Linked DNA regions of Xenopus tropicalis. Each later gene encodes a partner of the first gene's protein in a complex. Links are inferred from orthologs where the notes say so. Each region holds a gene or a part of one and is shown on either strand. Other genes may lie near its edges. The genes, in order: pigt, pigs, gpaa1 and pigu.

Region 1 (5,918 bases):
TTATGGTATCTCTCTGTACAGGCTATGAGCAAACTTAGGGGGCTGTTCCTGCTGAATTGTGCTTAGTACAGGGGAATCCCTATGTGCCATAGTTTTATGGTATCTCTCTGTACAGGCTATGAGCAAACTTAGGGGGCTGTTCCTGCTGAATTGTGCTTAGTACAGGGGAATCCCTATGCTGCCATAGTTTTATGGTATCTCTCTGTACAGGCTATGAGCAAACTTAGGGGGCTGTTCCTGCTGAATTGTGCTTAGTACAGGGGAATCCCTATGCTGCCATAGTTTTATGGTATCTCTCTGTACAGACTATGAGCAAACTTAGGGGGCTGTTTCCGCTGAATTGTGCTTAGTACAGGGGAATCCCTATGCTGCCATAATTTTATGGTATCTCTCTGTACAGGCTATGAGCAAACTTAGGGGGCTGTTCCTGCTGAATTGTGCTTAGTACAGGGGAATCCCTATGCTGCCATAGTTTTATGGTATCTTTTTGTACAGGCTATGAGCAAACTTAGGGGGCTGTTGCTGCTGAATTGTGCTGCTTTATAAATGGAAGGAGGGAGTAGTGCATAAGGTGGCACATTTAAACTTCTCACTGCTCCCCTTTCCCTTCTGCTGGATAGTCAGCAGAGCTTTGTCAGATTATACCTGTGATCCCCAACCAGTGTCTCGGGGGCAACCACCACCCCCTTTGATGTTGATCCCAGTGGCCTCAAAGTAGGCGCCATTTTTACATTTCAGGCTTGGAGGTAAGTTTTGGAAGCACAAAGACACACCAAATAGCCAATCACAGCCCTTATTTGGCATTCCTAAAGAACTTTTTTTCATGCTTGTGTGGCTCACCAACACTTTTTACATCTGAGTGTGGCTCAAGAGTAAATCCCTGGATTATAGAATAAGGTACAGTCCAACCAGCGTAGCAGTGCCGCACCACAACCAGGGCACAGGCCCACAGCTATAAATAATAAAGATTAAATGGCTGCAGCTTACTTTTCTTTCATAGTTTCATGCTCATCTTTTCCTCCACTATTCCAGAGGAGTCATTTATTAATGAGGTGCTAAACTGCAATTGGTCCGTTCTGCTTTTTTTTCCCTTTCTATATATTACATGCATTTCTTCTTCTGTTTATCCATACTCTTCCCTTCTCCTTTGCACTCTGCTCTGTTTTCCTGCTGTAGTTTCTAAAGCTGGCCATACACGCACCGATAATATCGTACGAAACCTCGTTTCGTACGATATTAGGTGCGTGTATGGTATGTCGGCGAGTCGACCGATATCGCAGGAAGCTGATGATATCGGTCGACTCGCCGATCAGACCAGTTTGAAAATTTTGATCGGGCGCCATAGAAGGCGCCTGACCAAAATCTCCCTTCAGCGCTGAATCGGCAGAAGGAGGTAGAAATCCTATTGTTTCTACCTCCTTATCTGCCGTTTCTACCTCCTTACCTGCTGATTCAGCCCTGAATGGTGTGTGGCGGATCTGACGATGTTTCGTGCGACCGATGGTTGCACGAAACATCGTCAGATCGCCACATGTATGGCCACCTTTACTCACATTATCTGTTATCTATATGTTTTCTGTTCTTAATCTCCCTTTTCTCTGCATTCTGTGCTTTTATTTTCTTTCCTCTCAGCAACTTTGCCCTGCTCTCCTTCCCTCTTTATAGTTCTTTCTCCCATTAACTTCTTTTCAATAGTTAAAAAAGCTGTGCAGGGACTGCTACTCGCATATATACCTTATCTTATCTTGTGGAACTCCTGCACAGAGGGCTTGCTAGCTTGTAACAAACCCAGGCCATCTAACTGCATTCTCTAGTCAAGTCCATTACTTTTCAAGCGGACTCAGTTCACCAATTCTATTCTTTCGCTTTTCTCTTTGGTTCATTGCACCTCTTGGCACATTATTATATTTTGTACATCATTATATTTATTTAAGCACCAGTACCAATGAATTACTCAAGCACTACGGAACTACGGAACGCATGCGCATTACCAGTTTCCTCTCTCTCGCTTTCGATTGGACGAATCCATATCTTGCCCTGATTAGTCCCTCGATCGGCTGTCAAAGTTTATTCACGCCCTTGGTCGGTTTGATTGGCTAAGACTGCTGAACCCGTATCTAATTGGCTAATTCCTTTCATTGCCAAAGGGAAGCGGAAGGGTTGCTAGGGTGGAAGATGGCCGGCGCTGTGCTTGTAGCCGCTGCTCTGTGGGCCAGCGTTTGGGCCGGGCAGTGTGCCGAGCCGCCTGGGAGTGATGTCTTCCGAGAGGAGCTGCTCCTCACACCGCTGCGCTCCGGGGACATCGCCGCCACCTTTCAGTTTCGGACCCGCCTGGATGCCGACCTGAGGAAGGAGAAGGGTGAGGAGCTTGGGGAGGCCCGCAGCGCAGTTATATTGTGGGGATGTGCCTTACCTCAGCCTACTACTGGGTTACGGGTTCGGCATCCAGTTACCTCTAGCCAGGGATGATGGGAGTTGCAGTGCAAGAACTGACAGGAAATAACACAGAGTGCGAATGGGAGGAGGGGGGCACTGATAACGCCCTGTCTCTGGGATTGGTAGCCCCTGATACTGATTGAATACACTCCCCAGCAGGGTTTGATTGGCAATTTGCTGATCGTTGGGAGTTTTAGTTTTGGAACATATGGGGACCCATGACTAGAATCAGGCCCTATATAACATAAATAGGTACCTACAGCTAGTATGGAACTCTCTCTCTCTCCACTATTAATTATGATGATTTCAGCTATTATTTCCTATATATATATATATATATATATATATATATATATATATATATACACACAGCAGTGAAGAGATCCGCACTCACAGGACTAGTGATATAGCCGAAACGTTAGTCTTCTCAATAAACACCAGATTCATTGTATAAGTCCTGTGAGTGCGGATCTCTTCGCTGCTGTATCTAGTTCTTCATATCTAGAGAGAGTGTATTAAGTTTTATATATTTCAATAAAAGCTAATTTTTAAAAGATTCCCAGTGTGCACCGCTATACCTGTGGACTTTATTGAAATTGCTTGAATCGGTAGCACCTGGGTCAATTAGCCATTTGCTAAGGAGTGCTGAACCCTCGTGGTTTGTATATATATATATATATATATATATTCTCCTTCAGAAAGCACTCACGGTATTTGCAAAAAAAGCGAGTATTTATTTACACAAAAATGTCTACGCGTTTCGATCCATACAGGATCGTCATCAGGACGGATCAAAACGCGTAGACATTTTTGTGTAAATAAATACTCACTCTTTTTGCAAATACCGTGAGTGCTTTCTGAAGGAGAATATGTCAATTTATGGTTAGCACCCGGTTCTAATCCGCCATTTTGGTGAGTGCCGATTTTGGGACTGATATATGTATATATATATATATATATGTATGTATGTATGTATGTACACACACCAGTTTTTCATATGCTGGGTAACATCTAAATCTTTTCTCCATCAGTCTCCCACTACAGGATCTTCCCTAAAGTGCTGGGCCAGCTCATCTCTAAGTACTCCATTCAGGAGCTGCACCTTTCATTCACCCAGGGATTCTGGCGTACAAAGGCATGGGGCCCACCTCTCCTGCAGGCCCCTACTGGAGCAGAACTCTGGGTCTGGTTTCAGGATTCTGTTACTGAGTGAGTTCCTAAACAGCTCTGCCATTAATCTGAATGCGGGATGTAAAAGGCCAGCAATTCCTTTTCCTCTCTGTAACTGGCATATATATATATATATATATATATATATATATATATACTCGCAGTGCCGCAAAACCCCTCCTTTACCTTGTTCCACTTTGAAGCAATGGATTCTTGGACTTGAAGTCCCTTTGATTTCCAGAGACTCTGTGCAACACCCACTATGGAAAGCAGAATTATTATATTTTCTTTCACTATAAAAATAGTTTTTGGGTAGAGTTCCTGTTTAACTGCAGAGGTAAGGGTGATACATGTGTGTATGGGTGCTGCCCTGAGCAATAGCATATATGTACGTTATAGTTGCTTGCTGAGCAGGGCCAGATTTGTAAGCCACCCTCTGTCCATCGCCCCAGCCCCCGCGCATGCGCAAACTCGCGATCAAGCATGCACGGGTCTTTACAGTCGCATACGGAGCAGCGGGGGAGAGGTCCCCATTGCTCCATTTGTGAGAAAAACTTTAATATTTTGGTGCCCCGGGGCGGCGTGCCACCCTAGGCCCAGGCCTTTGTGGCCTTTCCACAAATCTGGGCCTGTTGCTGAGCATCGCTATACCCTCCCACAGACTTGCAAATAACTGAATTTCATGATTTCATATACATTTATTGTATTGTGTATATGTTTTTGATTGTAGTGTTAATAAAAGTTGGAAAGAGCTCAGTAACATCTTATCGGGTATTTTCTGTGCCTCTCTGAACTTCATCGACTCTACTAACACAGTTACTCCGACTGCATCCTTCAAGCCCCTTGGAGTGGCCAACAGTAAGTGTGCGATGGCTACAGAGCATCTGAAGAGGTTTCTGTGGGCGTAGCATTAGAATAACACATGTGGAATGGGATGTGTATTGCAGGGACCAAGTGCCTTATGCAGGTATCATCTATATGCATGTTGGGACGGGTGATTGCACATTAATAATTATAATATTATCCATCTTATCTGTTCCTACAGTTACAGATCATCACCTGCTCAGATATGCCACGCTTCCCAGAGAGATAGTTTGCACAGAAAATCTAACTCCATGGAAGAAACTGCTGCCTTGTGGGTCCAAGGTATTTTAACTATTGTAACTTCATGGCTGAAAATATTCCCTTTATGTACATTTCATGATTTTCACTGTCACCCCAAATAAACGCCTTCTGAAAAACCTGGTGTTCGTAGGCTTCTCCCTATAGCCCCTGGCGTTCAGAGGCTTCTCCCTATAGCCCAGGGGTGGGCAAGCTTTTTGGCTCACGGGCCACATTTACTTACCCCCGGGCCAGACCCGGCCAGGGCGGGCAGGGCCGGGCCAGCGTTACGCCCCCTTAGTCTGTTTAATTCCGGCCCGCCAATGACACCAAGTCTCGCGTGATGAGACTTGGCGTCATCGGCGGGCCGGATTAAAAAGGCCAAGGGGCCGGATGTGGCCCACGGGCCGTAGTTTGCCCACCCCTGCTATAGCCCCTGGCGTTCGGTGGCTTCTCCCAATGGCCCCTGGCGTTCGGTGGCTTCTCCCAATGGCCCCTGGTGTTCGGTGGCTTTATATGCCATCTCACTCCAGCATGTTTTTATGTGGCTACTTTGCTATTTCTGCTCCCTTGTAACTTTGTTTCTTCCTCTCTACACAGGCCGGCCTGGCATCTCTACTGAGGGCTGAACGCTTGTATCACAGCAGTTACCACTCCCAGTCTGTGCATATAAGGCCAATTTGCCAGGTAAGTACTTTTTTTAAACCAGCCCCCCTCACCTTTTGCATAAGATGGGGCTTGGAATGCTAACTATAAAGCAGAGACAGTAATTTATAAATGATAATGCATTAGGGCAAAGACGTAAAAAAAATCTGCTCATTTGGCAAGGTTGCCAAACAAGGGGATCTTTGGCTAATTTTGGCAAATTGGGCTAATACCATTGTTTGGCCCTGGGCAGCCTTATGCAGGCCTGTAGGGATAGGACCTCATTTATGGGTCAGTTTGGTCCTCTCCTGACATAATTTTCTCTTTCAGAATGCAGATTGTTCAAGTGTCTCCTGGGAGTTAAGGCAGGCCCTTACTGTGGTGTTCGATATGTATTCTAGTGGCCAGGGAAAAAGAGGTAACTAAGTACATTCATATCTGATTTTGGACTGTTTATAAGAAGTGTCTCTTCCCTTCTATAGACAGAAGTTATAAGTGCTTTTGTAAATTCCATAAAAAATGCATTGCGTTTTTGTTTTCCAGATTGGTCCATATTTAAAATGTTT
Region 2 (4,839 bases), on another chromosome or scaffold:
CTGGCCCACTCTTGGGATACCTTACAGGTGGTAACAGAAAAGCTCAAATATTTGTACCATTTGGCTACATATGTGGATGCTGCAAAACTGTTTTAGCCAATAACACCCACATACATAAAGGACCAACTGGTCAATATGGTTTTTACTTTATCTGCTGTGGTCTGTTCACACCATAATTTAATTGGCCAAATCACAGGGCAGATGGGCCACTCATAGATTGATGGCCATAGTTACAGTTGTAAAATGGCTGAATACTGTATATTCATGCTTTTGTGGGACTATAGGAGAGGTAGCACATTAAAGGAATACTGTCGAGAGAAAACATTAGTGCTTTTCCAACAGTTTGACTATGACTATGACAATCCTGCATTGTAATCTGTTTTTTAAAGGCACAAACATATTTAATTTAATTTTGGAATTTTACATGGGGCTAACCATATTCTTCATTTCCCAGGGTTTCATAGTCATGTGACTTGTGCTCTGATAAACTTCAGTCACACTTTACTGCTGAGCTGCAAGTTGCAGTGATATCAGTTGCTTGAGAAGCTTTCTGAGCATATACTGTAGTTTCCTGACATATCCATAGAAGAAATGCATTTCTATATAGGAGACAGTCAGTGCCTAAAATCTAGATAACTGCTGCAGTCTCAGTTTTGGTTGCTCAGGCCTAACTAAGGAATCATGATTTCAAAGAACTAATTACTCTTCTCTTTAAGAAAAATTCCAGGTCATAACCATTGTCTATGTCTGTGTTTCTAGATATATAATGTTGATTATGGAAACCTTGGAGAGCTGCAGTTCCCGGTACACATTGATATTGACATGGTGCGAGTGATGGAGGTTTTCCTGACACAACTGCGGTAAGAAATAGGCATTTGTAAGTTGCTAAGATTGATGATGCTAGTGCTAATTATTATTTACCCTATTCTAACCAGAAGACATTGTGTCTGATAATTGTAACCAGTGCTGCTTTTTGCCTTTCAGATGATGAGACAAAGATATTTTTTATAATCATACCACCTCTAAGGTTGGACCTGAATTTGTACATTCCTTTTCTACAGCTAAAGGGCAACTTAAGCCTACAAATCCCTCCCACCACAATTATTATTTTTTATTATTTATATTAGGTATGCACCGAATCCCGGATTCGGTTCGGGATTCGGGCCGAAACCAGGGTTTTTTTTTTTTGAAGGATTCAGTTTCGGCCAAATCCACGGTCCCGGTTGAACCGAATCCTAATTAGCAAAGTGGGTTTGGTGCATCCCTAATTTTATATAGTGCTTACATATGACATAGGGCCAGCTCTGGACTGGGATTCAAAATAGGCCCTGGCATTACACAGACCCCCAACAGCTGCACGCAGCGCCGGATCTGTCTTGTGGCCGCCCCCATTGGTCGCCCCTCCCCCCCCTGTGTACGCATGCGCGAACGAGCGTCCCCCACCTCCCCTCCCTCAGGCTGCGAGCGTAAGTGCGCATGCGCAAACGTTTAAGGTCCCATTAGGAGCAGTGGGGAGAGGTCCCCATTGCTCCGTGTGGGAGCCAAATTTAAAAATGTAGTTGCGGCAGGCTGCATGCCCCCCTAAATTTGTGTTGCCCTAGGCCCGGGCCTTTGTGGCCTCACCACAAATCCGGGCCTGGCTGCACAGGGCCAATAGTCACAGTCTACGACATTTACAGCAGCAGCTCTGGCATTTTCCAGAATCCAAGGATTGCCAATCCATACATCGTTCACATAAGTCCCTGCCCAAGCGGATCTTACAGTGTAAGGTCCTTATTACACACAAGAGTTTCTCTTGATGCTTCCCTGCTCATTTCTATTGTTTTTTTGAGACACCATAGAGAGAAATGAGCAGTGAAGCATCAGGAGAAGCTTCCTACTTCGGCTTTTGCCATTCCATGGGAGCTCAAGTTTCATATACATGATATTAGCAGTTTAAAAATTACCAGTACCATCATTTTTTAATTCTACATTGTAATTCTTAGGGTATATGTCTCCATTAATACAGGATATTTGATTAACACCATGTTCTAATCCAAACTAATCTTTTTGTATGTCTTTGTATTCCACCAGATTACTATTAGGTATTACAAAGGCCGCTGTGCCAGAGGACTACCAGCTTGAAAGCCCAGGAAACGAGGGTCTGACTGACTGGGAATTAGACAGTCTCCTTTGGTCTAGAGTGGTAGAAAATATTGCTACAGTAACTACCACATTAACCTCTTTGGCTCAGCTGCTCGATCAGATTGGCAACATAGTAATAAATGATATTGTTGCTTCTGAGGTAAGTGCAGTAATATGCTTGAGAGCTTTGTGTAAGTGAAATGTGCACAGACTGCCAGCCCTGGACACAATCCTCATATTTGCAGAGAATTAGCAGCCAAGTAAATCCAGCCTAATTCACTAGCAGCTGCCACAAGCTCAGAGCCTTCTGAATATGATAAAGCCTACAAGAATGGTATTGTTTATGCTGCTTTCCTGTTACTCATACTATACAAATATATCTTGTTTAGCATGGTGTAAAAAAGGGCTAAATAAATAGTATGAGCACAGGTAAACTGGAGTAGGTGTTCTGCCACAAACACATTGTTTATTTGTATAATTTAACCCTAACATTTTCATATACTTACTGTATAGTGCTACACCAACACTATGAATTATTGGAATTGGCTAGTAAGGCTACACCTATCATGAATGGTGACACAGATGCCTCTTTATAATACAATTAGATTCTTTATAATTCTCTGCTTTCTACTGTGCCGCAACAGTTTGTGGACGGTCCTTTCTAGTTTCAAAAGGGTAATAACCCCAGGCACAAAGTAAGGTACATACAGAATGGGTTTGGATCCATGAGAGTAGAACACTTTGACTGACCTGCTTAAAGGTCTGATTTCAACTCAGCTGGACACTTGTGGGATGAATTGGAACGCCAGTGTGAGTCTGGCCTGATCTCTATGTTAGTGCCTAATTTTTTATGAATGAATGGGGGCCAATTTGACCAATTATGTTGCAACTTCTAGTGGAAAGCTTTCTAGTATAGTACAGAAACTTCGTGTTACCACAACTTCGTACTGATACCTTCTGGTTTTGAAGATGTTGAACAGACAGGTGTCCACGTACTTTTGGTCATTTAGTGTACAATAAAGGTGGTCTCCTTAGCAGCTTGCCACCGCTCTGCAGCCATTGCTGCTACATGCAACACAGCTTCCAGGATGGGTGTGCACACTCATACTGTCTATAGAAGCCATAGATTGTATTTGAGTTCCCACACTGAGTACTTGATAGTTTGTTTGTTTTTTTTTTTCATTTTAGAGCTAACCATAAAGGCAAAGTGGAATTTTTTATTTTTTTTGTGATGTACTGAAAGTTTACAGATTTATAGTTTTTTCATGAAAAAAGGTCAATACAAAATGTCACATGTTCCCTTGTAATAGTAAGCTTTCTTTACTTTAGACTTAGGTGTAGACTTACTACCATATAGTATTTTACTTTACAAAACACAGATACCTGTGACCTTGCAGATATTTCACACCTTTATGTGAGATACAGGGTATGTCATTGTACCCTGCTGTATGTGTACATTAATCCCCTTTGTTCTCTTGCCCAGGTGTATCACGCAGTGTCCTCGGTTCAGACTGCCTTGTCTGAGCTAGAAGCAGGTCGGCTAGAGTCGGCATTTCAAGCAAGCAAGGAGGCAATCAGCTCTTCTGAGAAGGCATTTTTTGACCCCTCTCTCCTTCATCTCTTGTACTTTCCAGATGATCAAAAATTTGCCATTTACATTCCTTTATTCTTGCCCATGGCTGTTCCCATTTTTTTGTCTCTCATAAAGATTGCCAAGGAATACAAGCAAAGCAAAAAGGAGCCCTTAAAAACTGAATGAAGATTTTACCATTACTACCCTATGACTTCTAGGAAGAGAACACTATTGCCTGTGTTAATTTTTTAGTTTCAGTAATGTCTGGCTGTTTTACAACATTGTGGAAGTTGTACTGCAGCTCTTCTTAAAGCAGTAGACACTCTTGAGGGGATTCTTCTGATACAAAAGTAGATTTTGTTTTTTTTTCCCTGCAACACGTCGCTGCTTGTGAGAATATTAATGCCATTGCATGTTAATTTATCCTGCATGCAGTTCACCTGTACCACCACCTAAACTGGTCACTCCAGGTCCAGACTGGAAATCTGTGGATTCTGACAAATGCCAGAGGGGCTGCTTTAAGATGCATTTAAGATGGGTGTACTGGAAATGCCAGGGCCTATTTTGACTCCCAGTCCAGACCCGAGTCACTTATTTCTACTTAATCCCACAGAGAGGCTTAAAAACAAACAACATAATCTCAGGGAACCAAGGCCTCTTACTGCATTTACGATATATGTGTATATTTGTGCATTTATTTATTATATGTCTACTTGAACTACTTGTTCAACTTGTACAATAAGTTTGCCTTTGGGTAAAGTCTTGTTCTGGAAATCATAGCTGAGCCTGCCTTAGTTACCCTTAGAGTAATGTCCCATGGTGTGATTAGTCACCCGCGATAGATCTCTGCTACCGCGGGCGAAGTCATGAAAATTTCCCCCTTTGTGCGACTTTGGAAAACCAAAGCAATGTGTAGGCCTTTCCACCAGCGATTCCCTTTGTTGCTGGTGGAAAGGCATTTTGGGCGACTAATCTCTCTGTGAGACATTACCCTTAACCTTTATATCTCCTGTTATATTTAAAATGTTTGTAAATAGTGTATTCCACAAACAGATTTTTTTTCCAGGTAAATATTTGGCTATGGGCAGAATAAAAAAGGGTTTTTAAAGCCAGCACCACAACCAAGCCAGTAAACCCCGGTA
Region 3 (5,400 bases), on another chromosome or scaffold:
GATAGCTGCTGAAATTCCAAACTGGAGAGCCGCTGAACACAAAGTCAATAATTCAAAAAACACAAATAACAACAAATGTAGACCAATTGCGCAGGTCTCTTCAATAATGGAGTTAACCAGTTATTGGTACTCGCACATAGCGGTTTGGCCTGCGCTGCCTTCCTGTAGGTGGAAGGTGCTTGATTAATGCTCTGACGCAGCCCAGCTCCTACCTCATTAATAGAGTAGATAATTATTAGAGTATTACATGCCTTGCCGATCTCCCTCACACTCATGTCCTTGCAGAGATAAAGTCGTCGGTGATGTTGGGTCGGGCCGGAGCCATTCAGGCCGCCGTTTCCCTGGAGATGAGCAGCGACGTGATCACCAGCTTCGATTTGGTGGTGGAAGGTTTAAATGGGCAACTACCCAACCTTGACTTGGTCAACCTGTTCTACGCCTTCTGCCAGAAGAACACGCTGCTCTGCACCATTCAGGGCAAGGTCAGGCCGCTCCCATTGCCTTTCCTGTTGCACTTCCTTGTGCTCCTGTATTGCCTGGCTCAGCCCTGATCTCTCTCTATTACATTCAGCTTCAGAGAACTGACTTCGACACCTTCCCCGGGTACCTGCACAGCCTCCAGACAATGCTGATCATGATGCTGAAACAGGGCTCTGGGAGACCCCAAGGGGACCACGGCCTCTTCCTGCGCTACCACATCGAAGCCATCACCCTGCGGGGCATCAACAGCTTCCGCCAGTACAAATATGACATGAACACAGTGGGAAAGTAAGTGGCCATCTTCCCCCACTGTCACCTTGATCCTCACTGGCGGTTTGAGGAGTTACTGAGAATGACTAGAATGGGGGGTGTACCACAGTTTTCAAGCTTCGTACACCTCACAATCTAGTTGTTCTCAGTATCTCCTCACAACCCAGGTGACTTTTAGTGGCTTAAACCAGGGGCGGGCACTCTAGGCAACCATGCCCCCCCCGTAACGATTAGGGGGTGCCAGGCAGGAGCCTCTCCTGCCTACCCCTAGTCCTCCTTCATTGTCATAGAGCAGCGTGTTCTTATGGTGCTTTGGTGCGCATACACAGTTCGTGGGGGGTGTGTGCAATTCTATGGGTCATTGCCCCCACCGCTAATGACAAGCGGCAGGGCAATGACAAAGAAGGAGGACTATGGGTAGGCAGGAGAGGCTCCTGCCTGGCGCCCCCTAATCGTTGCGCCCTAGGCAGCTGCCTCTTCTGCCAACCCCTAGTTCCAGCCCTGGCTTATACACACATACATACATACATACATACTTACATAACATACATACTTGCATACATACATACTTACATACATACATACATACACACATACATACATACATACATACTTGCATACATACATACTTGCATACATACATACTTGCATACATACATACTTACATACATACATCATATCATGTGTAAATCCTGTGGATACATTTCTGGAAACGTCTCCATAGTGATGTGGAAACTTCCAGCCCCAACTTGGGCATCTTTGGTGACTGTTTAGAATTCTGACTCCCTCGCAATATGCTAGTGCAATGGTCGCCAACTGGTGGTACTTATTTTTGAATTTTTGGAGGCATTAAGACCAAACAGAGCCTCCTGTAGGCTGCCAGTCCAAATAGGGGCTTCAAATAACCAATCACAGCCCTTATTTGGCAGCCCCAGGTACCTTTTTTTATTCTTGTGTTGCTCCCCAGCTTTTTATGTTTTAGGTTTGCGTCCCCTGTTCATTACTTAAATGTGCTGTTTAACTTGCTGACACCATCATTTTTTCTCTTCTATAGGACCCTGGAAGGAATGTTCCGGAAGCTGAACAACCTCTCGGAGCGCCTGCACCAGTCGTACTTCTTCTACCTGCTGCCGTGCCTGTCCCGCTTTGTCTCCATCGGGATTTACATGCCGGCCATCGGCTTCTTCATCCTCATTTTGATCCTCAGGATATCCTTTCCCCAAACCCCGGGGGCTGTACTGTCCCCCTGGAGCACAGTTGGATATGGGTAGCCAGTCATAGTGCTACCTACATACAGAAAGATAAACTGCGGTTTCCTCTTCGGTCTGCCTAGCTGCTGATTGGCTGCCTTCCTACAGTGGGAGGGACTGTAAGTTCTCCTACACAGCCAGCAGAAAGTGGAAGGTTTTCTATTAAAGCTGAACAAAAGTAAACTTTAAAGGGGCAGTTCATCTTTTGGGTATGTAGTAGAATAGGGGTGGCCAATACGTCGATCACGGTCCACCCGTGGATTTCTGGTGGGCCTCGATGAAGCCGGGGATGCGGAAGTCACGTACATACGCATTCACGCCGCACTTCCGCATTTCCAAGTCTGCCCACCCCTGTTGCAGAATGACCAATTCTAAGCAGCTTTGCAATTGGTCTTCCTTATTTATTTTATATTGTTTTTGAATTATTTGCTCCCTGCTTTCTCCTTAACGATGTAATTACTCCCTGGACCTGTGGATTAAGCTGAGGCGCTCGGATGGGACGGCTGAGGACGGAGTCATGGATACAGAGCAGGTACCGTTGGGTCTGTAAGGGATCAGAGGAGGCAAAAGGGCTACGAGAAACAACCACTTTGACCCCCCAGCACAGTAATATATATATACATCTATCTGTTTCTTCCTGTAGGATCCAAGACCCGGAATCCTGTCCCTCGCGACCCCCATTGTGATCTGCCACGCTACCGGCCTGAGTCTGTACTACCTGCCAGTAATGAGCCAGGAGATGGCCACTGACCACTTCCCTGTCTCTGAATCCGAGGCCGTTGTTCTCACCGCTATCGCCATCTACGTGGCAGGACTTGCACTGCCCCACAACACACACAGGTACTGAGCCACAGCTGCGCCAGCTTGAGGGGCCCTTGTGGGCAGGTAGGCAGTGGCAGCGGGCTGGCAGCACCCATGATTGGCACAGCTACTGACCACTAATGCACACATGTAGTGACCTGGGCACGTTAGCCTTAGCTGCTAGTAGCCACAGAGGCTAGCACCAACACTATAGGCCTGACTTAATAAAATTCGTTGCCTTTTGGCCTTGAAAGTCGTATAAACTCAACATGTATACATTCGAATTAAACTCGATCGCTGCTGTAATTATAAAATGGCACGATAATGCCTGAATTGTTAAAACTCAAAATTCAAGTTTAAGCGGAACGTTAATTTCCATGGGGGGATTCATTTCCCCTTGAAACTGGGTGAAATAGAAAGCAATGGGGGGATTCATTTCCCCTTGAAACTGGGTGAAATAGAAAGCAATGGGGGGATTCATTTCCCCTTGAAACTGGGTGAAATAGAAAGCAATGAGGGGGTTAATTTCCCCTTGAAACTGGGTGAAATAGAAAGCAATGAGGGGATTAACTTCCCCTTGAACCTGGGTGAAATGGAAAACAGTGAGGGGGTTAACTTCCCCTTGAAACTGGGTGAAATAGAAAGCAATGAGGGGATTAATTTCCCCTTGAAACTGGGTGAAATAGAAAGCAATGAGGGGATTAATTTCCCCTTGAAACTGGGTGAAATAGAAACCAATGAGGGGATTAACTTCCCTTTGAACATGTGCCAAGGACAGGCTGTCAGTGACTATTCTATTCCTCTACTATTCTGAGCTTCCATAGGAAGCTTAAACCTTCCAACAAAGCAAGTTAACGATAAATCCCCCCCCATTCAGGGATGTAGAGCCCAAACACGAGGTTCTGATGCCCCTTGTGCTTCGGTGTTGCCCCTCAGGCTGCCCCCTTGTGCTTCATTATTACCCCGTAAGGTGTTGCCCCTCAGGCTGCCCCCTTGTGCTTCATTATTACCCCGTAAGGTGTTGCCCCTCAGGCTGCCCCCTTGTGCTTCATTATTACCCCGTAAGGTGTTGCCCCTCAGGCTGCCCCCTTGTGCTTCGTTGTTACCCCGTAAGGTGTTGCCCCTCAGGCTGCCCCCTTGTGCTTCGTTGTTACCCCGTAAGGTGTTGCCCCTCAGGCTGCTAGGGGTATAAGCAGTGCAGTAGCCATTTGATGCTTTGCCGTTACAGAGTTCTGAGCGGCGCCGGGTCGGACCAGGGCTGGATGACTCTCAAGCTGATCTCCTTACTGTACCTCGCTGTCCTTCTGGGCTGCATCTCCCTCATTAACTTCTCCCTGGGATTCCTGCTGGCGGTCACTATCGTCCCTGTGGCGGCCATTGTGCAACCTACTGGGCCAAGGTGAGTAGAAATCCTCTGCTCCGATCCACTGTGTAACGGTGCCGCTGTTGGTCTTGTGTGGTCTCTGATCTGTCACAGTCCCGCCCGGCAATTAATAATTATTGTTCTATTTCTAGCAACTTTGCAATTGGTCTTCATTATTTATTTTTTATGGTTATTGTATTATTTTCTGTGAGGCTCCAGTTTTATTGTTATTGTTACTTTTTATTCCTTATCTTTCTATTCAGCCCCTCCCCTATGTGCATTCCAGCCTTTCATTTAAATCACCGCATGGTTGCTAGGGTAATTTGGGCCAAAACTGGAAAGCTGCTAAATAAGAAGAATAACTCAAAAACAATAATACAAAATGGAGACCAATTGCAAACTGTCTCAGAATAGCAGTGTCTACATCCTACTAAAAGTAAACGCAAAGCTGAGCAAACCCTTTTATGATTGAGCCAAATCCAAATCCTGCCAAAAAGGGCAAATCGTGGCCAAATCGGGGAGTCGGTGTGTCCCTAATATCCGACTGGGGGGCCCCAATGTAATGAGATTATGTTCCATAGAGGAAGGTTCTTGGTTCTACACAATATTATTTCAGTAGTTTCAGTGTTTGTATGGAAACTCACTAAGAATAAACAGGTCTTGGCTATGACCCACCCACACTGCATGGTGTTAACCCTTTCTTCTCTCCCTAGGGCCCTGTATGCGCTCCTCCTGGTCCTGATCACCCCGGCAACCACTCTCCTCGGCAGCATCTTCCTGTACCGGGAGCTGATCGAGTACCCCGTAAGCTTGCTGGAGTGCTGGCAGCTCTTCCTTCAGGCCATCGCCGGGGGCATGTTGGACCATTACCTCTATGGCTCTTTGCTCTTCCCCTTCATTGCGTTCTTCGTCTACCCCTGCTGGCTGCAGCTCTGGAACGTGGTCTTCTGGAAATAGGAGGGGGGCAAAAATATCTCTCCATTCTCTGGCCTTAACTAGACTGTGGCCAGGTCGGACTCTCGGAACCAGAAGTCCTATTGCTATTGGCTGAGAGACCCGGCCAGGTTGAACCCAGCTGTGTGTCTCGCTAGAGAGCGCTGACTATACGGGTAATGGAGAGGGTTACAGGGCAGCAGAGGAGACAGAACTTGTGCATGAAGGTTTGGGTTGTACGGACTTATTTATATTTGTTTTGTTCAGACAGTGACTCCCAAGAGCTGACAGTCGGCATTTGGC
Region 4 (6,067 bases), about 710 kb from region 1:
CAAACTTAGTGCCTTTTATTACATAACCCTGTGCAACTAGATATAGGCTCCTTGCCCTCCCAACCTTCTCAGTGAATCTGAGCTCACATCAGCTCCTGTGGTTTTAGGACTCCTATGTCCATGGATTCTCCATCTCTCCACAAAGGCTAAATGTAAGCATTGTGGGTGGTAAATTATCCATCTCACTAGTGAGCTGCTCTGGACATTTAGTGAGGTCGGCATATATAATTCTGAAAGCAACTGCTTACAAGGTATGAGTTATAATATGGCCAGGGGGAATTAAAGACATATAATAGACTGTTACCAAATTAATCATGGGGTCCACCTTGGTGCATGGTGGCTAAAGCAACTGCAATACCCCCAATAACAGCATTATATTTATACATCCTTCAGTAATTAAACATTAAACCAATATAACTTACCTATATATATTACAGAAGTAAGAATGTGCTGTCCTTGCATACGATATAAACTGTATTAAGGTTTTGCCGGGGCCACTGCTCCTTTTAGGAAAAAATGTACCAGCTGTGGGGAAAACGTAGAGCCTTTTCCTGGTATCCCTAACACAGACTTAAGGGCCGACTACGGGGTGGGCGATATCGGGAGAATCCAGACTAACGACGGGTATAGGACGGGTATAGAAAAAGTCGGTCCAGGGATCGTATCAATGAGCTGATGCGGTCCCCGATCCGACTAGATATTTTAACCTGCCCGATTTCAGGCCAGATAGTCAGTAGTGCCCCTACACGGGCCGATTTGCTGCCCAATCAGTCTAAGGGACCGATATCGGCAGCTACTATCGGCCCATGTATGGGGACCTTTAGAATAATACATAGATCTTTACTGTAATGTATATGAACAAATCTGTAGAGGAACGCCATGGAAAGTAAAGTAATATGGTGGTGCTATGTAAGTTTTTTTTTTCCTGGACCAGTGCATTTTGTCCCTTAGATACTGACACCAGAAATCAAACTTTTTTTTTTTACAGCTATCATAACATTGCCTTAGCATGATATTTATAATATTGTTCTAAAAGTATTTGCCCAATGCTTTTACATTATGTATCTGACCCCCATATTTCTCTGTGAGGGGGCTGCCATATTTGTGCATAAGAAAGGTTGAAAGGACAGTCAGGTTAGCAAAACAGTCAGGTATATGGAACTTCAAGTAAACTATTAAGCTGGCCATACACGCATTGATATATGGTTTGTATGATTTTTGGACTGTGACCAAAATTTTGGTCGGATAACTGCCGATACCCTTGGGGGGCCCACAATGCATTTCCAGGAAGTCACTTTTGTACGATTGGTGTCTTCCAGCTATTTGTTTAGAACATCCCCAGATTTGTTATTTTTATGGCTACAATTTCAGCCATTATCTTAGTTCTAGATCAGTATTGTGCTTAAACTGCTCACCCTAGCTTCCCTGTCTGCCTCACACTCCTGGAACGCCATGTCTACAGCTTTCCTGTGTCACAACTAACTGCTTTCTTTCACTAAGCCCCATTCCTCTTCTACTAATGTCTCCATAGCATAAGGCACAAGCTTCTTCTTTATGGAAGCATCCCGTCCTATATTCTTAAACATCGTCCATCCTTCTCCTAAACTAACAGAGCACTATAAGTACCTTTGGACCAATGGGCCATATCCACAACCAACTCCTTACACTCCCTAAATATATTATCATTTGGATCAGTATTAATATTTGTACTATCATATTTAATATAAAAACACTATATACAGGGAGGACTATACACATTTAAGTTGCAAAGTTTGTGTTTGTCTAAAGACATAGCAACCAATCCACAGGTAGCATATATGGTCACCTGTTGGAAAGCAAACAGCTCATTGGCTGCCATTCATTAGGCACTTGGTTAGTCTTTATACTGTTTTCATATCACCTGGTTAAGTGACAAAATACTGCTGCTCTTTCCAGAGGTACTTTTTAAAAGTTAGTACCCGTATCATTATGTTATAAGAACCAGTTCCAGTGTCCCCTTGAGTGACCTCTATCTCCCCAGCAGCCCCAACTTTGTTGCCTGGGCTATAAAACAATTCTCCTATCACCGAGCGTATCAGCTGTAGCTCACGGAATAGACTCTTCCGTTTTCGCGCTGCATTCTGGGACTCGTAGTTTTGCAAGCTGCTGCTGTTCGTGCTGTGGGAGTGCCTGAGAACTGCAAGTCCCGTGAGCCCCCGCTTTGGCTGGGCGATCCAGCTCTGTGAAGATGGCGGCTCCTTTGGTGTTAGTAGTGCTGGTGGCCGTGACTGTGAGGGCTATTCTCTTTCGCTCCAGTCTGGCTGAGTTTATCTCGGAGCGGGTGGAAGTGGTGTCCCCGTTGAACTCATGGAAGAGAGGTGAGGGAGGGCAAGGCTGGCTGGGCAGGTGCTGGGATGGAGGCTAGGGGGAGGCTGGGGTGAGACGGGGAAGGGCTTTCTGTGACAGCTTGACAGGATGTACAAACCTGGGGCTAAGCATGTGGATGCCCCACCCTACCATATAAACAACAATGTTGGTTGCTCTGGTTAAAAGGTGAGGGATGGCGTGAAGCCTTTGCATTTTGGAGGGGAGTGGGGTAGCAAATGGTTAGTAGAGTAAAGGTATGAGATAGGGAATTGTGCTGACTTGGAGCCCCACTCGTTCTGCTGTCCCTGCTGTGAGTGTAGGCCAACACTGTGACTGCAGCATGTCAAGCAGTGGGGCATCTTCTCATGTGTCAGGTGGGTCTCATTTCCTTGGTGGGACCCCGAGACTGGGAGGGTGGGACCCCGAGACTGGGAGGATTGGGACGCCGAGACTGGGAGGATTGGGACCCCGAGACTGGGAGGATTGGGACCCCGAGACTGGGAGGATTGGGACCCCGAGACTGGGAGGATTGGGACCCCGAGACTGGGAGGATTGGGACCCCGAGACTGGGAGGATTGGGACCCCGAGACTGGGAGGATTGGGACCCCGAGACTGGGAGGATTGGGACCCCGAGACTGGGAGGATTGGGACCCCGAGACTGGGAGGGTGGGACCCCGAGACTGGGAGGATTGGGACCCCGAGACTGGGAGGATTGGGACCCCGAGACTGGGAGGATTGGGACCCTGAGACTGGGAGGATTGGGACCCTGAGACTGGGAGGATTGGGACCCCGAGACTTCCTACGTGTATGACACAACCTGTAGCCCTCAGCCTTTTTTTGTCACTAAACTGGTAATTAACATCTAAAATATGTTAGGTAGGTGGCCCTGAGTAAAGTTAAACCTCAACCTGGACTGCAATCACAGACTGGCCTGTTTTCCCATTTAATAAGAGACATTACCCTTGTTATATACATTTCCTCCTGTATAAGCAATATAACAAACTAGTGTAACTCTCATTATCTCTTGCAGTGGTGGAAGGGATGGCCTTGTTGGACCTTGGCGTGTCCCCTTACTCAGGAGATTTGTTTCATGAGGTAAGAATCTCATTGATCATGAGATACCCATAAATACATGCTTACACTATGCACGGTATATTAAGGTCCCCATACACGGGCCGACTATAGCTGCCGATATCGGTCCCTTGGACCGATTCGGCAGCTAATCGGCACGTGTCTGGGGAGAGCAGAGCGGCCTGGCCGACCGAGATCTGGCCTGAGATTGGCCAGATCTCGATCGGCCAGGTTAGAAAATCCGGTCGGATCGGGGACCGCATCGGCTCGTTGATGCGGTCCCCGATCCGACTGCCCCATTGCCGCCCACATAATCTGATCGTTTGGCCCCAGGGCCAAACGATCGGATTATTTTTTTTACCTAAATGCTCCCCGATATCGCCCACCCGTAGGTGGGGATATCGGGGGAAGATCCGCTCGCTTGGCGACATTGCCAAGCGAGCGGATCTGCTCGTGTATGGCCAGCTTTACTTTTTAAAGCTTTCATATTTTGAAGCTCTAGTTAAATGCAATCCACAGTTGCATTACATGAAAGAACTCTAGTAGATAAGTGTTATCTAGCTTAGTTTGTATGTTTCTGACTCTTGTTTGTGGGCTGAGCGCCGCCCACTGCTTAATTTTGGTTTGTGTGGGTGTATGTTTGTACCTGCAATTAAATATATTGAGTAGTAAGTGTCCAAAACAATGCTACGGTTTCATAGGAAGTGTAGGTCACATGCGTATTTAGAATAATACAGAGTTAGATTCAAAAATTTAATTTTGACATTTGTTTTTTTTCAACAGACGCCGCTCATTTTATATCTCTTCCATTTCCTTGTAGACTATGCAGAGATAGTATTCATGGTAAGTGTATAACCGTACCTTTGTCTCTATTTAATTTAGGGGGGCACAGGCAAAGTCTGCTTTATGGGAGGCAAGGATGGTGAAAGAACAGAACAGCTGACAGAGCTCCAGGTGGCTCTGCTGTCCCAAACGTGTTCTTTCACAAGCACCTTTTCTCCAGAGAAACAACCCCCAACCTTGACAGTTTTTCTTTCCCATTTATTTTCTGGGGATTAGTAGCCATGACAAGTAGTTGCTACTAAGTACAGTCATGTAAAAAAATTAGGACACCCTATGATTTTTGTATTCTTGGAGATATGGATATTTCATCTACATTTTAACAATACTGGGAGATTCAAGTAATATAACTAACCAATTAAAACTGAAGAAAAGACTTTTCAAAATCTTCTGTAAAATGTAATTCTACAAAAATGCAATTTCTGGTGAGGAATAAATCAGGACACCCCCACATTTAGTCCCGCTTTAAATGGCTAAAATCACCCACAGGTGTATCACATCAGGTGCACATGATAAGAACATCATTACTCAGCATTGTGAAGGAGGTTTGTCCTATTAAGGCTGATGCCACATGTGGCGTTTTTCCGCTGCGTATTTTCTAATTCTCTCAGTGGCTGAAAAACGCCTGATATCATCATCCATAGAAATAACTTGAAAAGACGCGAAGCAAACCACACAATGCGGAAATACGCTAGAAAACGCCTTAGCATGGATTTTTCAAGCGTTGGCCGAAATATGCCAGTATTTGCAAAGCAACCTATTCCTATGTATACACAAAGGCAGATGCCAGACCTAGCGGAAATACGCTGCGTTTTTTCCTATTTCGCACTATTAGCACCATGGAAACGGGATTTGCTTACGTCACCAGTACTAGGCTGAAAAACGCCATAGTCAGGGGCTGTATAGGTTGTGCGGCGTTTTTAGGCTGAGAAAAAACGCAGCGGAAAAACGCCACGTGTGGCATCAGCCTTGGCACGGATTTTTCAAGCGTTGGCTGAAATACGCCAGTATTTGCACAGCAAGCTATTCCTATGTATACACAAAGGTAGATGCCAGACCTAGCTGAAATACACAGCATTTTTTTACTATTTTGCACCATTAGCACCATGGAAACGGGATTTGCTATGTCACCAGTACTAGGCTGAAAAACGCCATAGTCAGGGGCTGTGTGGCTTGTGCGGCGTTTTTACGCTGCGTATTTTCTAATTTTCTCGCCGGCTGAAAAACGCACAATATCATCTTCCATAGAAAAGACTCGAAGCAAACCACACAATGTGTAAATACGCTAGAAAACACCTTACCACGGATTTTTCAAGCGTTTGCCATAATACGCCAGTATTTGCACAGCAAGCTATTCCTATGTATACACAAAGGCAGCTGCCAGACCTAGCAGAAATACGCAGCGTTTTTTACTATTTTGCACTATTGGCACCATGGAAACGGGATTTGCTATGTCACCAGTACTAGGCTGAAAAACACCATAGTCAGGGGCTGTGTGGCTTGTGCGGCGTTTTTAGGCTGAGAAAATACACAGCGTAAAAACGCCACGTGTGGCATCAGCTAAACCTCAGACATTTTGTTTGGTGTGCTCCTGGCTGTTGAGGTGAGAGTGAACACCATGGTAAGATCAAAATAGCTGTTTGAGGCCTTCAGAAAGAAGATTGTAGCAGCTAATAAGTCTGGTAAGGGATTTAAAAGCTATTCCACTGTCTGGAAAATAGTCTACAAGTGGAAGTCTTTCAAAACAACTGCCAACATGCCCAGTTCTGGCCGTCCAAGCAAGTTCAATGTGAGACCGCAAGATGCTAAA

The links.
Region 2: the proteins of pigt (region 1) and pigs are in contact, whole or in part, in a cryo-EM structure (PDB 8IMY), measured with the Homo sapiens proteins. The link is inferred for Xenopus tropicalis from reciprocal best matches to the Homo sapiens genes PIGT and PIGS. Residues at the interface, in NP_057021.2 of Homo sapiens: Pro26, Arg27, Val63, Ser64, His65, Tyr66, Arg67, Lys71, Gln75, Lys79, Tyr80, Val133, Gly136, Lys191, Leu193, Pro194, Cys195, Ser196, Lys198, Ala199, Glu270, Pro271, Pro273, Leu274, Tyr526, Ile529, Cys530, Cys533, Val536, Ala537; in NP_149975.1 of Homo sapiens: Thr9, Glu12, Val13, Gly16, Ala19, Ala20, Phe23, Thr230, Pro238, Lys239, Tyr244, Ile247, Glu248, Val251, Gln256, Val270, Asp271, Ser272, Gln273, Ile274, Tyr276, Tyr277, Met279, Ser309, Arg310, Ser313, Ser314, Ala315, Ala316, Phe513.
Region 3: the proteins of pigt (region 1) and gpaa1 are in contact, whole or in part, in a cryo-EM structure (PDB 7W72), measured with the Homo sapiens proteins. The link is inferred for Xenopus tropicalis from reciprocal best matches to the Homo sapiens genes PIGT and GPAA1. Residues at the interface, in NP_057021.2 of Homo sapiens: Gln91, Gly92, Phe93, Arg95, Arg97, Tyr98, Ser108, Phe211, His212, Thr213, Ser214, Asp247, Phe249, Ile250, Arg340, Gln355, Tyr357, Val358, Ser359, Gly360, Tyr361, Gly362, Leu363, Leu371, Tyr373, Lys441, Asp459, Pro460, Asn461, His462; in NP_003792.1 of Homo sapiens: Arg97, Ser98, Val99, Gly100, Glu102, Tyr104, Arg134, Ala135, Pro136, Arg137, Ala138, Ala139, Ser140, Thr141, Glu142, Arg171, Gly172, Gln173, Ile174, Tyr199, His200, Asp201, Val202, Leu212, Gln213, Gly214, Arg215, Ala218, Arg311, Tyr312.
Region 4: the proteins of pigt (region 1) and pigu are in contact, whole or in part, in a cryo-EM structure (PDB 8IMX), measured with the Homo sapiens proteins. The link is inferred for Xenopus tropicalis from reciprocal best matches to the Homo sapiens genes PIGT and PIGU. Residues at the interface, in NP_057021.2 of Homo sapiens: Tyr361, Gly362, Leu363, Gln364, Lys365, Arg394, Leu395, Tyr396, Val397, His398, Tyr416, Pro418, Ala419, Gln420, Asp421, Arg422, Gln445, Glu447, Leu450, Leu451, Lys452, Trp453, Thr454, Pro518, Thr519, Pro520, Asp521, Phe522, Ser523, Met524; in NP_536724.1 of Homo sapiens: Glu30, Lys42, Arg43, Val45, Glu46, Ser49, Leu50, Leu53, Val55, Ser59, Gly60, Ala61, Val62, Pro265, Asp266, Leu267, Pro269, Leu273, Trp275, Tyr276, Phe277, Phe278, Ala279, Glu280, Met281, Phe282, Glu283, Phe289, Phe293, Asn296.

What each region holds. Positions count from the first base shown.
Region 1 is NC_030686.2:41,856,514-41,862,431, reverse strand, and holds the start of pigt (GPI transamidase component PIG-T), read left to right. Parts: upstream 1-2,095; 5' UTR 2,096-2,175; coding exon 2,176-2,359; intron 2,360-3,467; coding exon 3,468-3,645; intron 3,646-4,336; coding exon 4,337-4,464; intron 4,465-4,651; coding exon 4,652-4,752; intron 4,753-5,307; coding exon 5,308-5,394; intron 5,395-5,682; coding exon 5,683-5,770; intron 5,771-5,895; coding exon 5,896-5,918. UniProt on the Homo sapiens protein: Component of the glycosylphosphatidylinositol-anchor (GPI-anchor) transamidase (GPI-T) complex that catalyzes the formation of the linkage between a proprotein and a GPI-anchor and participates in GPI anchored protein biosynthesis.
Region 2 is NC_030678.2:34,655,581-34,660,419, forward strand, and holds part of pigs (GPI transamidase component PIG-S), read left to right. Parts: intron 1-759; coding exon 760-860; intron 861-2,073; coding exon 2,074-2,284; intron 2,285-3,607; coding exon 3,608-3,883; 3' UTR 3,884-4,839. UniProt on the Homo sapiens protein: Component of the glycosylphosphatidylinositol-anchor (GPI-anchor) transamidase (GPI-T) complex that catalyzes the formation of the linkage between a proprotein and a GPI-anchor and participates in GPI anchored protein biosynthesis.
Region 3 is NC_030682.2:151,230,023-151,235,422, forward strand, and holds part of gpaa1 (glycosylphosphatidylinositol anchor attachment 1 protein), read left to right. Parts: intron 1-285; coding exon 286-482; intron 483-571; coding exon 572-768; intron 769-1,804; coding exon 1,805-1,958; intron 1,959-2,460; coding exon 2,461-2,532; intron 2,533-2,643; coding exon 2,644-2,840; intron 2,841-4,029; coding exon 4,030-4,200; intron 4,201-4,877; coding exon 4,878-5,121; 3' UTR 5,122-5,400. UniProt on the Homo sapiens protein: Component of the glycosylphosphatidylinositol-anchor (GPI-anchor) transamidase (GPI-T) complex that catalyzes the formation of the linkage between a proprotein and a GPI-anchor and participates in GPI anchored protein biosynthesis. Binds GPI-anchor.
Region 4 is NC_030686.2:41,148,281-41,154,347, forward strand, and holds the start of pigu (phosphatidylinositol glycan anchor biosynthesis class U protein precursor), read left to right. Parts: upstream 1-2,177; 5' UTR 2,178-2,227; coding exon 2,228-2,357; intron 2,358-2,571; exon of another isoform or gene 2,572-2,686; coding exon of another isoform or gene 2,687-2,720; intron 2,721-3,376; coding exon 3,377-3,441; intron 3,442-4,200; coding exon 4,201-4,260; intron 4,261-6,067. UniProt on the Homo sapiens protein: Component of the glycosylphosphatidylinositol-anchor (GPI-anchor) transamidase (GPI-T) complex that catalyzes the formation of the linkage between a proprotein and a GPI-anchor and participates in GPI anchored protein biosynthesis.